Saccharomyces cerevisiae S288C: one gene and its partners. The gene in region 1 interacts genetically with each later gene. Each region holds a gene or a part of one and is shown in the gene's direction. Other genes may lie near its edges.

What was found.
Region 2: mutations in THR1 (region 1) and SPT10 are lethal when combined (synthetic lethality), as found in Saccharomyces cerevisiae (one study listed by BioGRID).
Region 3: of THR1 (region 1) and SNG1, extra expression of one rescues a mutant of the other (dosage rescue), as found in Saccharomyces cerevisiae (one study listed by BioGRID).

What each region holds. Positions count from the first base shown.
Region 1 is NC_001140.6:157,841-161,011, forward strand, and holds THR1 (homoserine kinase), read left to right. Parts: upstream 1-1,597; coding exon 1,598-2,671; downstream 2,672-3,171. Other genes in the region: MAS2 (mitochondrial-processing protease subunit alpha), read right to left, coding at 1-1,352; VMA16 (H(+)-transporting V0 sector ATPase subunit c''), read left to right, coding at 3,004-3,171. UniProt on the Saccharomyces cerevisiae protein: Commits homoserine to the threonine biosynthesis pathway by catalyzing its O-phosphorylation.
Region 2 is NC_001142.9:181,116-186,822, reverse strand, and holds SPT10 (Spt10p), read left to right. Parts: upstream 1-2,602; coding exon 2,603-4,525; downstream 4,526-5,707. Other genes in the region: tRNA 1-methyladenosine methyltransferase subunit GCD14, read left to right, coding at 144-1,295; NIT2 (putative hydrolase), read right to left, coding at 1,399-2,322; MCO6 (Mco6p), read left to right, coding at 5,114-5,272. UniProt on the Saccharomyces cerevisiae protein: Required for normal transcription at a number of loci in yeast. Affects transcription at Ty1 elements, at PHO5, STE6 and ADH2.
Region 3 is NC_001139.9:891,315-896,651, reverse strand, and holds SNG1 (Sng1p), read left to right. Parts: upstream 1-2,511; coding exon 2,512-4,155; downstream 4,156-5,337. Other genes in the region: YPP1 (Ypp1p), read right to left, coding at 1-1,959; FYV8 (Fyv8p), read left to right, coding at 4,466-5,337. UniProt on the Saccharomyces cerevisiae protein: May function as a N-methyl-N'nitro-N-nitrosoguanidine (MNNG) export permease.

The sequences.
Region 1 (3,171 bases):
CCTCTGTCTCCTTGCATTACAACAGTAGCTCTACCCTTACCATTGCCAGCATTATTTACATTTCCCGTAAATATCATTTCGGCAACACGTGAGATATCATCTGGCTTCAAATCTTCGATCTTACTTATCATTTCGTTGACTGGGATTTTGCGACCATGCATGAGAACTTGTCTGCCCATATCTTCCAATTCTACCAGTTTAGACTCTAGGTTCATTAGTAGTGAAGACTTCAACTGATTCTTGGCCCTGGAGACTTCGTCTTCAGTTAACCTCAAATCCTTATTAGCAAATGTATTATACATTTGCTGTGCAATTACCTCAACCGCTTGAGGAGCTGCCTGCGGTATACAAGATAATGAAATACCGAAAATACCAGAATCCGAATAAGAATGGTTGAACGCAACACAATTTTCAACAAAGTAATACTGGTTCAAAACGTGGGTATACAAACGAGAATACATCCCCTTTCCTGGCCCACCAGCACTGAAAGAACCACCACCTCCAAGTAAAGTTTGTAATGTTGCTAAAGCATAAATGTCTGGATGATCTATAGGGAGACCTTCAAATCCGATCTGGATGTGGAATAATTCTGGTAAATTCCCAAACACTGGTGCTGGTGGAATACAACTTTCCCCGCCCGTATATTGGGCAACTTTTTTGGTGATCGGAGGGTGTGTAGATTGCCAGTCACCGAGATACTTTTCTGTAAGCTCTAATGCCTTTTCGTGAGGAACACCAACAAATGCCGCAACAGTATTTTCTGGGGTGTAGAATTTATTTCTGTAGTCCAATAAGTAGTATTTAGAAATAGAAGGAATGAGCTCTCTAGGGCAGATTAAAGGGGACCCCAAAGTTTCTCCGGAGTATGCTGCTGTGTGCAACAGCTCAGGTAATACCAATTCTGGCTTCATCCAAACTTCATCGATTTCATACTCTGCCGACAGCTTCTGTTCTTGCAGTTCTTGCTCAGTAATCTTAGGGAACCTCACAGTTTCTGACATTAATTGAAGCATTTTACCCACATCCTGGTTGAACACAGAAGCCTGATACATCAAATTTTCTCTAGACGAGGTACACTGGTAATTCCCACCCAGTAACTCCAACGTCTCTGCCATTGCTCGGCCCTCGACGTGTTCGGTTGATTTGAATGCTAGTCTATCCAAGATATGTGTACAACCCTTCAAATTCCTACCTTCAAACCGTGATCCTGCGTCGATGTATAGGCCTAAGGCACTAAAGTGTCCAGGAGTATTTGATGTCGCCACTTTCAGTCCATTCGCTAGTGACGAAAGCTTAAAATTATCGGTTCTAGCGATGTTAGAGTACAACCTCTGAACGCCGTTCCTTAGCATCTTTTGTTATTAATCAGCTCTCTGCTTTGCATTAATTTGACCACCTGCCCTGAAACACCTTTCTTCTAGTCCACCTGTGTAGGCTTTTTCACCTGAATTGTTCATTCTCGATACGCCCTCACGCCGGATGAAAAATTTGTGCAAGAGTCATCATCTCGAAAAGATATGGTGATAAAAACAAGTGTACTTCTAACCTGCCTAATGGTTATAACAGTAGCATAAAGTAGATATACGGACTACAGAAAATGGTTCGTGCCTTCAAAATTAAAGTTCCAGCTTCTTCCGCCAATATCGGCCCTGGTTATGATGTTCTTGGTGTCGGTCTTTCTCTATTCTTGGAGTTAGATGTCACCATCGACTCCAGCCAAGCTCAGGAAACAAACGACGATCCCAACAACTGCAAGCTGTCTTACACTAAAGAAAGTGAAGGCTATTCTACGGTCCCATTGCGTTCTGATGCTAACCTGATTACCAGGACTGCGTTATATGTGTTGCGTTGCAACAATATTAGAAACTTCCCCTCCGGAACCAAAGTTCACGTCTCCAACCCAATCCCACTTGGCCGTGGATTGGGTTCCTCTGGTGCAGCAGTTGTGGCAGGTGTTATTTTAGGTAACGAAGTGGCCCAATTGGGTTTCTCTAAGCAACGTATGTTGGACTACTGTTTGATGATTGAACGTCATCCAGACAACATAACCGCTGCTATGATGGGAGGCTTTTGCGGTTCATTCCTAAGGGACTTGACCCCACAAGAGGTGGAAAGACGTGAGATTCCATTGGCTGAGGTGCTTCCAGAACCTTCTGGTGGTGAAGATACCGGTCTGGTTCCCCCATTACCTCCCACCGATATCGGTAGACATGTCAAATACCAATGGAACCCCGCCATTAAATGTATTGCGATCATCCCACAGTTCGAGTTGTCCACCGCCGACTCCAGAGGCGTTCTTCCAAAAGCCTACCCAACCCAGGACTTGGTTTTCAATCTACAAAGATTGGCCGTCTTGACCACAGCTTTGACCATGGACCCACCTAATGCCGACTTAATCTACCCTGCTATGCAAGATCGTGTCCACCAACCTTATAGAAAGACATTGATCCCAGGTCTCACGGAAATCTTATCATGTGTCACCCCATCCACATACCCTGGCCTATTGGGTATCTGCTTGTCAGGTGCAGGCCCAACTATCTTGGCTTTGGCCACTGAGAATTTCGAAGAAATCTCTCAAGAAATTATCAACAGGTTCGCCAAAAACGGCATCAAGTGCTCCTGGAAACTACTGGAGCCTGCCTACGATGGTGCTAGCGTCGAACAGCAATGAAATGTCCTTTACCCCTAGTATACTGTGTTAAATACTATTGTAGACCATATACATACTGTAATTGACCGTTAACGGTTATTATGCTGAGTCTTCTTCCGTTACCCGTCTTTTCTATCTATTTCGAAAATAAAAAATAAGTGAAAAGAACGAAATTTCACAACCATTAACAATACAGATAATGAATCGAAGTTGTTTTCAGTCTCAATTCAAAAGACTCATAGCCAAGGCCAGTTGATTGATTTAGCCACAAGTATCATTCAACGTAATATCCACAGGTGTTTTTTTTCTCACCGGAAGGCGAATAAAATACAGGAGCTAGAGCGTGTAAGATAATGAACAAGGAATCTAAAGATGATGATATGTCCTTGGGGAAGTTTTCCTTCTCCCACTTCCTATATTACTTGGTGCTAATAGTAGTAATAGTGTACGGTTTGTACAAGCTTTTCACTGGACATGGATCCGACATTAATTTCGGGAAGTTCTTGTTAAGGACATCCCCT
Region 2 (5,707 bases), on another chromosome or scaffold:
TCGCTTTTTGTTTATGCCATGCCGTTAGCAACGAATTTTTTTCCATGCTCATCACTTTTAAAACTGTTTAAAGTATATAGAAAATATATGTGAATAAGATCGGGGTGGGACTATCAGGTAGCTAAGATTACGCAGATTTAGAAATGTCAACAAATTGTTTTTCCGGTTACAAAGACCTCATCAAGGAAGGCGATTTAACTCTAATATGGGTTTCTAGAGATAACATCAAACCGGTAAGGATGCATTCCGAAGAGGTATTCAATACTCGTTATGGTTCATTTCCTCATAAGGATATCATAGGTAAACCTTATGGTTCTCAAATTGCTATAAGAACAAAGGGCTCAAATAAGTTTGCATTCGTCCATGTTCTGCAACCAACTCCTGAATTGTGGACTTTGTCGTTACCACACAGAACTCAAATTGTATATACGCCCGACTCTTCCTACATCATGCAAAGGTTGAATTGTAGCCCTCACAGCAGAGTGATCGAGGCAGGTACAGGCTCAGGATCATTTTCGCACGCTTTTGCAAGATCTGTAGGTCATCTTTTTAGTTTTGAATTTCATCACATAAGATACGAACAAGCATTAGAGGAATTCAAAGAGCATGGACTTATTGATGATAACGTTACGATTACACATCGGGATGTTTGCCAAGGTGGATTTCTTATAAAGAAGGGAGACACTACATCTTACGAATTTGGCAATAATGAAACCGCCGCTTCATTGAATGCAAATGTAGTGTTTTTAGATCTGCCGGCTCCCTGGGATGCTATACCTCATCTGGATTCTGTTATTTCCGTAGACGAAAAGGTCGGATTGTGTTGCTTCTCCCCATGCATTGAGCAAGTAGACAAAACATTGGATGTATTAGAGAAATATGGCTGGACGGATGTTGAAATGGTGGAAATTCAAGGTAGACAGTACGAAAGTCGAAGACAAATGGTCAGATCACTCAATGATGCCCTGGAAAGGTTGAGAGATATTAAGAGGCACAAACTCCAGGGTGTAGAAAGACGCAAGCGGATGTTTAACAATACAATAGATTCTAACGATGAAAAAGTTGGAAAAAGAAACGAGGATGGCGTACCATTAACAGAAAAGGCCAAATTTAATCCTTTTGGCAAAGGTTCTCGAATCAAGGAAGGTGATAGTAATTATAAATGGAAGGAGGTCACAAAGATGGAAGCTGAGATCAAATCCCATACCTCATATTTGACTTTTGCATTTAAAGTTGTGAATAGATCAAGAGATGATGAAAAAGTTAACGAAATTCTTCGATCCACGGAAAAATAATTAAATGATTAACTACTTATATACTTAAATTATATGTTTTTGAAATTTTTAATATGTAAAGCAAATCTGTACGAATAAAGGCTTTTTTCATATTTTATTTGCCTCAATGAAATAAATCGTCTCTTCTCTGGTTCCATAAGGGCATTTTGTTCCTTATTTCTTGCAAAAGCTCACGATCCAAATCAGCGAGAATTAGTTGTGGTCCAACAGTAGAGGGATCGGCATGCGCTATTATTTTACCCCAAGGATCAATGACCATTGAGTGTCCCCAAGATTCTCTCCTGGAGCTTTTTTCGAGAGCGCTCATATGTGATTGTTTCTCCCACTCTGGATCACTGAGATCGTGCATTCCAACCTGCCCTGGCATGAGCACATAGCATTGAGTGTCAACCGCTCTTGCTCTGCCTAGTAACTCCCAATGTGCTTCCCCTGTTTTAATAGTGAACGCACTGGGAAAACATAAGATTTCAGCCCCCATTGATCGTAATTTCAAAGAAAATTCGGGAAAGCGAATATCATAACAAATGGCACTGCCCAATTTTCCCAATGGAGACTCTATAATGTCAGGAATGGCTTTGCCAGGCTGGACAGATTTTGATTCTTTCAATATCGGTCCATTTGGCACGTCTACGTCAAACAAATGCAGTTTTTGGTATTCTTGCAATATTTTCCCTTCATGATCGATATATAATAGAACGTTTCTGACTCGATCATTGCCTTCAAGTAAATCTTGTTCTGAGGGCGGCAAGTGTACCCCAATGGAAACATCTATATTCCGTGAATTATCTCTGACAAGGTCGGTAATGCTTGACTGTAATTGCCGAATAAATTTGGGGCTTTTCTGTGCCAAATACCTGGAATGAAGAGGGTTTTGAGAAAGATAGTCACTTGCCTCAGGGAGAAAAACGACATCCGCCTTTTTTTGAATGGCTTCAGATATCAATTCTTTTACCACTTTTAAGTTTTTGGTCAGGTCAGCGGATGAACATAATTGTGCGACAGCAACCCGTTTTAATTTACTAGTCATTTGCGGTGTTATATTTTATGAAGGAGACTTCATGATGGGTATGAATTTTATTTCACCTCTATTCATTTACTTCTAATGGCCTAGAATCTAGTAAGCTCTGAAAATTCGAGATGCGGATCGTGAGCTAAAATAATAAAAAAATGAAAAATATAAAAGAGCAAAATTCATTACATTGGCGTTAGTTCACTGCTCGGGGGATGAGTAAAAAGTGTACCGATCAAGAACAACTCTAGACTTCCGCCAAAGTGATTATCAACAAAAATCGTAATAATTAGCTTCAATGCTAAATCAGCACACAAGTTCAGTACCGGATGACGAACATCTGCAGATGGCACACCAAAATAGCAGTTCAGAAGTGAGAAATGAGGCAGCGGTCCCAGATCAACTTTTGACTCCTTTACAACCGTATACCATTTTATTGAAAGATGGAGAAACAATAGCTACGATGTATCCTATACCTGCGTATCCTGATTTATTGCCGCTAGGGCTCTTAAATTTCCTTCTAGATGAATTTAACATGGAAGTGGAAAAGGGAGATAGTTTTCCTTATTACGAGACTTTATCACTAGAAGAATTCAAAAATGTCTGGTTTCATAATGATGGTCACGTTTGTATTATGGTGTTAGGCGAAATACCAGAACTGGATTATAGTATGGATACTGAAGCGGACACAAATGATAATTTTGGAACAGAAATAGAAACCACGAAGCACACCACCCAATATAAGAAACGAAAAGAACGTCGCAATTTAAATCTAAGTATGCAGTGGGAGAAGCAATGTCTAGGCATATTTGACCTCAAACCAGCATACCCTGGACGGTCAGCGCATGTGGTCACAGGAACATTTCTGGTCAATGCTGGTATTCGTGGAAAAGGTATTGGGAAAACACTAATGGAAACATTCATAGAATGGTCAAAGAAATTAGGATTTACGTCCTCCTTTTTCCCGTTAATTTACGGAACGAACGTAGGAATCAGAAGAATTTTGGAAGGATTGAACTTTAGGCGGATTGGAAAGCTGCCTGAAGCCGGGATTCTCAAGGGCTTTGATGTCCCAGTAGATTCTTTCATGTATGGTAAAGAGTTCACACATATTACGAAAAGTATAGATTTGTTACGAGATCCTCAAAAGAGTATCGAAATTGGGAAATATGAACGATTAAAGCATTTTCTGGAAACAGGCAAGTATCCTTTACATTGTGATAGAAACGAAAAGGCTAGATTAAGAGTACTTTCCAAAACTCATTCGGTATTGAATGGCAAGTTGATGACAAAAGGAAAAGAAATCATTTATGACACGGATCAACAAATCCAGATTGCATTAGAGATACATTTAATGGAACATTTAGGCATCAACAAGGTGACCTCCAAAATTGGTGAAAAATACCATTGGAGAGGAATCAAGAGTACTGTTTCGGAGGTAATCTCTCGGTGCCAAAAATGCAAGATGAGGTACAAAGACGGGACAGGGGTAATAATTGAACAAAAGAGAGCAGTTAAGCAGGCGCATATGCTACCGACGCAGCATATAGAAACTATCAACAATCCAAGAAAAAGCAAGAAGCATGATAATGCGTTATTGGGACAGGCAATAAATTTCCCTCAAAATATTATTTCCAGTACGCTGAATGATGTGGAGGGTGAACCCACTCCGCCAGACACTAATATCGTACAACCCACATTCCAGAACGCCACGAATAGTCCCGCAACAACAGCTGAAGCCAACGAAGCGAATAAAAGATCCGAGTTTCTTTCCTCAATACAGAGCACGCCACTATTGGACGACGAACAGTCAATGAATTCCTTCAATAGATTCGTGGAGGAAGAAAACTCAAGAAAAAGACGAAAATACTTGGATGTTGCCTCCAACGGAATTGTACCCCATTTAACGAATAACGAATCGCAGGATCACGCGAACCCCGTCAACCGTGATGAACGAGATATGAACCATTCAGTTCCCGATTTAGATAGAAATGACCATACTATAATGAACGATGCTATGTTGAGCCTCGAAGATAACGTCATGGCCGCTCTAGAAATGGTCCAAAAGGAACAACAACAGAAGATAAATCATCGAGGTGAAGATGTGACTGGCCAACAAATCGATTTGAACAACAGTGAAGGTAATGAGAATTCAGTCACTAAGATTGTTAACAACGAATCTAATACATTTACAGAGCACAATTCTAATATTTATTATTAAATTGCGACTCTGCCAGAGACGGTCACATCACCAACCCTAGAAACTATAAAGTTTGTACAGAAAAAAGGTACATTTAATGATGCGTCCACTTTTGGAACAGGGTTGACAAGTCTTAAATCTTATTTCAGAAGTGATTTTTGAAGTAAAATTGGAAACTGAAATTGGAAACAAGGCACTCAACTCAATTATGCTTGCATGACGAAAGGTTCTGTTACAGTTTTACGTTGAAACCTAGGTACTGCAGAAATCCATAATCGGAGATAAATAACTAAGCTTTGTGCTGCAAAATTTTCCAGATTAGGAAACCTGATCCTCAGTGCCCTTTTAAGTACTGCTGTATCTGATGCCGTGAACGAGACACTATTGGCTGCGTGGGCACGTACCAAGTATACTCATCAAAATTTGTCTTAGGTTTTCCGATGCGGAAAATGGCAGCGCACAATTTAAATAGAAAAGGAGTTAAATGTACAGCAGCAAAATCAGTCACTCACGGAGAAAAGCTACGGTAGCGTAACGAAGAGCACATTGCTACTAGCAGCCAGCTAGATAATTGCAGCAGTGTACAGTTTACGCGACAATAAAGAAAGCATGATTTTCTTTTTCAACCAGATCCGTTCAATATTTACAGCTTTGCATACGCCAACTCAACAGATCCAATTATCAAGAAGGGCCTTTTTCCAATTCTTAGGCTATTTGGGTAGTTGTGTTGTGATTTCATTAGCAGCTCAATCGAAATACGTGCAGTAAGAAATGAAATAATGACCTGCAACAGTCCTTCTTGAGATGGAATGAAGTAATTGCTCTTTGAACGAGAGCACAAAAGCAAGCAGAAGTCGCGTATGTCAAGCCCATGATATAGCTGCTTAGATATATAGGTAGATATAAATAAGCACAATGGCTACAGTAATTGTGCGGTGCAGGGAGGCAATGTTTAGTGCATCTCCTCTACATCATTTCTATTTTTAATCTCGTCCACGAGAACGATTTAAGGAAATGGGGCTTCAAAAATAAAAAAATCAAATGAAAGTAATAATCTTTCAGCTTAGACTTATTTTTAGTTGAAACACTTGAATAAGAGTGCAGACACTCAATCGTGGTGTAGCTACAAGAACATATGGTGGCGTGTTTCTGCTGCAACTGTCAAGATCGTCTGTGTCTTAATGAGGTGATATATAGAACTGC
Region 3 (5,337 bases), on another chromosome or scaffold:
GGCCTTGGCATCCTCATCATTGTCTTTTGTTCTCATGTACATATTTGCAGCAAAAATCCACACCATTTGTAAAAGATATTCTTTAGTTTGAGAATATTTGGGACCCATGCTGTTCAATTCAGGTTGTGAATCTGGAAATAATGTTGCGTATAATTCAAAGACCTCTGGAAGTGTCTCCAGTGCCTCTAAAGTGCCAAAAATTTCTTCAATTAGCGCCAATTGCGTTAATTTTAGGTGAATAAATTGCCATCTATCATTCAGAAGTAAAGTATTGTTCTGAAGACTTTCATTCATAGCTTCTAGAACAGAGCAAACTATCTTGTACGACATTTCCTTATCCTCTTGCACAGACCTACAAAGAGCTAATAGATGCCAAGCTTTGTAGTAATTTGGGTTTTTACTTAATATCAATGATTCTAGAGTCTTGATTGCAGTTTCAATGTGCCTCTGTTGTGCTAGAGTGTAAGAATATTTAAATTGTAATTCACGTAATGCCTTCTCCTCCTCTCCTTCTTCCTGCTCTTCTACATCAGCATTGTCTTTTTCTTTTGTGGACAGCATCATTGCATTACATAGATATGAAGTCAAATTATTAGATACAAGAAAATCTAACTGATATTTTCTGATTTCGTACAATGTTGACCACGCATTTGTTAGAACTTTCGAAATGTTTCCTGGGTATACACATCTGGTGCTGTTTTCTAGCCAATCTAAAGATTCTGATTGGCTCATTAATGGCAAATTATATTCTTTGTAGAAGGAATTCAAGGAAGTCGCAAACGTAGATACCGTATTATCGTAATCAAAAACATTTTCGATTGAATCGGTTTTGGAGGAGTTTTGTAAAATAAAAGAATACGCATCAATGAATGAAATTATGTCACGGTGGGAGTTATCGTGCAGTTGATAGTACTTGTCGTTGTATTTCACAAAATTAACAAAATTTAGTATAGATTCTCTTTTAAATGTCTTCTTCTTTATTTCGTCATTACTGTTATCGCTTAGGTTTTGGAAAAGAAACATTGCTGTTTTCGAAACTTCAATACTTTGAAAAGTCTTTTCCATTGAAGATATTATGAAATTATACCAACTGGGATTCACTTTTATTTTTTTTATGTGAGTGAATTTGAAATAATACTGCAAAAAGACATTAAAATGCTCCAAAGCTTCATCATTTGTCTCACTAGCAGTAGGAAATTTGGCCTTCAACAAAACGTTCTGTCCGAACTTCAAATAAAGATCATCATTATCAATGTGCTTTTTGAGAGGTGACTGGAACTTCTTTATCATGTAAAGGAAAAGAATAAAAGGATTTTCGACGGTAGTTTTAAAATTTTCTGCTAAATCCTGAATTTGATTGAACCTGAGTTTTGCGACGATCAAGCTGATGTATTCGAAAAGAAGACCGTTTGATTCGGGAGGGATCGTATCCACGTGGGCCAGTAGTTCTTTGTAAAAAACATTTTGCATGATATTTATGTCTTGCGAAACTAGACCACGGTAGTACAGGTTTTCTACGATCAAATACCTATCATACTGCTCCATAAGTGCTGTTTTTTGCGATGCAGTGTTATTATGAATTTTCAACGAGTGCAGCAAGCACCGCTGCGATTCCTGAAATTGGCCCCTGTGGAAGAAAAGAATACCGAGGCAATTGAACAGAATTTTCTCCACTAGTTTTGTAATCTCCGGATAGTCATTCAACTCCTCCATCATACTCATATTCTTTTCTAAATTTTGACTTTCCTTCAGTAAAACATCACAAACTGGTTTTGCAGGCCCATTCGATCCAATAACATGGTAATGTAGTCTAAACTGTAAGTTAAGTACGGAATCTAAACTATCAAACCCTGAATTGAAGGTGCTGCCACCTAAGAGTCGCGCTCTTAGCGCTTGGTCGACCACATCTATTATCTTCGATGGAACAGTAGGAGGAATCCGAACATTTGAGTTAGGCATTGGGCAAGTTGGTATTGAACTTCTTTCCAGCTGGCGTGTTCAACTTGTTCCTTCCAGTATGCCACACATTATGCCTTGCACACCTAAAGCACATATTTTCGTTATTTTTCACCACAATAGGTGGATCTCGAAAAGGATGGAAAATCAGGAAAAAGAAATGTTGAGAAAAAAATAAACCGATTCCCGTTTAGTTTTCTCCTATTTCCGTGTATATGCGTGGTTATTCGTTTTCGAATCCTTTTATGAATGTCCGAGGAGGTGGTACAATCCGAAATAGACTAAAGAAAAGCGAAAGCCGTGAGTTTGTTTGATGATAGATGACTCGCAGCTTTGTCATCAACGGGCCACCCTATTCGAAGAAGGGAATGGAAAACGGACTGGCGTAGTCAATAAGCGTCTTCATATCTTAGCATTGTTGAGAGATACATAGTGTACTCCATATCGTTCTTTTTTTTTGTATATATCAAGCCACATATCCTGTTTCTTTAATCTTTTATACGCCGTAAGAATCGGGTACTGACATAAGTGTAAGTAGCCGTACAGAGAACAAATATGACTAAATCGGTTGGTGATGAAGAGTCACAGTACATTGAGGACCCTAGTTTTGCAGCAGCAGCTGCATTTACTGGCGGCAGGGACGGGGTTTCGTACAGTAATCAGCGATTTGCTGAGGGTTCCGGCCATTCTTCTGACTTAGCAAAGTCATTAGAAGACTATCGGCCTCCTGATGAAAAGCCGTCCTCATTGTCATCTGTGGGGGAAGGTGGCGCTAATGAGGAAGAGAAGGGCGGTAACGACGGCGGTCCCTTGGCAAGAATTCAAACAGGGCTTTTTTCTCCAAGACTGCGAAATCATAGGAAAAAGATTCTCTCGAAGTTTGTTTTGAACAACTTCTTCATTGCTTGTGTGTGTGTATCGCTCATATCGATTTACTGGGGTGCCTGTTACGGAACAGATCGTTACTTTTTCAAAGTGAAAAATATTGTTGTATTGCAGGATGCGCCATCTAATACTTCAGTTCAATCTATTTCCGCGATCATACCCTCATTGTTAGCGTCTGTCCCCGGGACATGGCATATATACAACGCAACATCATTTCATAGGAAATTTGGTACGACGAACTCCACCGAAATTGACAGAAAGATAGTCGATTTAATTTACGATGAGAGATACTGGCTGGCGTTAAACGTTAAACCTAATGCTACAGACACTTTGTATAATTCTTTGATTAGCCAAGACGCAAACTCGGAGTTCAATTCATCAATTTTTTTTGAATCCGTGTTTGAAAGTGGTCGTGACCCATCGAGTGTTAAATCGACCATTCTACCACTCATGCAACAATTGGAGGTCCGCCTTCAGAAATATTACGTCAAGGAATATCTTCCCTCATTGATGAGCAACATCACTTCTAATGACAGAGATCTTAATATAAACATGGAGAACTGGGCGATTGCAGGACAGTTGTTGTTCACCTACAACGATTATCGTCCCTTTGCTGATCGTATTCTAATGGCCCCTCTGCAGGTCGGTCTGATTTATTGTATTTTGTTAACCGTTTTACAACTGTCATTATATGGTAAGTTGCACGGAGAAATGGCCAGAGTTCTGAAGCCAAAGCATATTTTAATCTACAGGCTTCTAATTTCCTGGGCAACTTATTTTCTTCTTTCCATTGGATTCTGTACCGTATCTGCAATTTTTAGGATCGATTTCACCCCCGCCTTTGGCAGAGGAGGATTCGTAGTATATTGGATGTCTACGTGGTTGGTAATGATGGCTGTTGGTGGTGCCAATGAAAACGTTCTCAGCTTAGTTATAGCTTACTGCCCTCCATACCTGAGTATTTGGTTGATGACGTGGATCATATTAAATATTTCTGCTTCATTCTACCCAATGGTTTTGAACAACGAATTTTACAGGTACGGCTACATAATGCCAATCCATAATGCCGTGGATATCTATAAAGTGATTTTTTTGAATTTAACCAAAAGAAAAATGGGAAGAAATTACGGTATTCTCGTGGCATGGGTTGCCCTCAATACATCCTTGATGCCATTTTGTATGAAGTTTGCAGGTAAAAAAATGCAAAAAAATGCTATGCAAGCAGCAGAAGCCGCTGTCGCAGCAGCTACCCAGCGTGCTAGCCGCCCGGCAGAGGCCAATACTGATAAAAATAACAACCCGCCCGGAAATTAATGGGTAGGGTTAATAGCTTATTCATATATACACTTAATACGATTAAAAATTATTTATATTCTCATCATCATAAGATGAAGATGCAAATATCACAACAATTATATAACGTCGTTTGTTTGTTTGGTGACACATTAGTGTTTCATTCCGGGTAGCTATTTTGTTTTTCTCATGCCAAGAATTCTGTAAGGCACTTAAAAGTATTCCTAAATACCACTTTCATACATGGTTAACAAGGTAAACACAAAACTTGCATTATAGTTAAAAGGGACTGTTTGATCATTACCCTTTTTCTGGAAAGCGGATATTTATTATGAGCACTGAACAGGTCGGTAGAAAGAAATCGTATAGATGGGTTAGCGCATCTCAAGCAAGTTATGACGGCGCTGGATGGGACAGTAGTGACGAATATGACTACTCTTCCGAGGATGGCACAAAAGGTTCAGAAATTCACAAGCAAAAAATATCTAATTTGCCTAGTTTACCCAAGCTCAATTATACAGATGTTAATGGTGAGCATGATGAAAATACGGGTGAAAATAAAGACAGCAATGATAATAACGTCAGTAAGAGTGATATTAGTCCTAGTGACAAGGAAGTAGGCTATCTCTCAGATGGGGTGCCTAAACTTATGGCTTCAAGAGAGTCTGTGGAATTACAAGCGAAAAAATCCAGCGAGCACTCCAAATCAGATTATCTTTCGTCGACAGCATCTTTGAAAAGTCCAAGTGAAAACAAAAAATCACCACATACAAATAGGGCTGTAAACGAAGACCTAGACAATTTGATAGAGCAAATATCAAGGGAGATGACACCAGAAATTAGGCAAACATCTGATTTTCGGCGTGATTCAGACAGTTGTGACGAAATCCAAAACGAAGCACCATTAGGGGAAGCGGTACCCTCTTCATCATCTCCTGTAGAAGAAGATGAAAAATCACATTCCTTAGGGGTTTCAATGGATACTAATGAAGCTGATACCACTTTCAATACGCCAACAAGGAATGGAAATGAACATTTGAGTAGTGATGGCGATGTTTCTGAGCAGAAAGACGACGAGTTTAAAGTTTCCGAAAGAGGCTACCTTGCAGATATTCTGCCTGCGGAGAAAGAGGAGAATTTACAACAAGAAGATGATGGTGAAGTCGAGAGCTCAGGAGCTTTGGAAAAGAAAGAAAAAAGTGA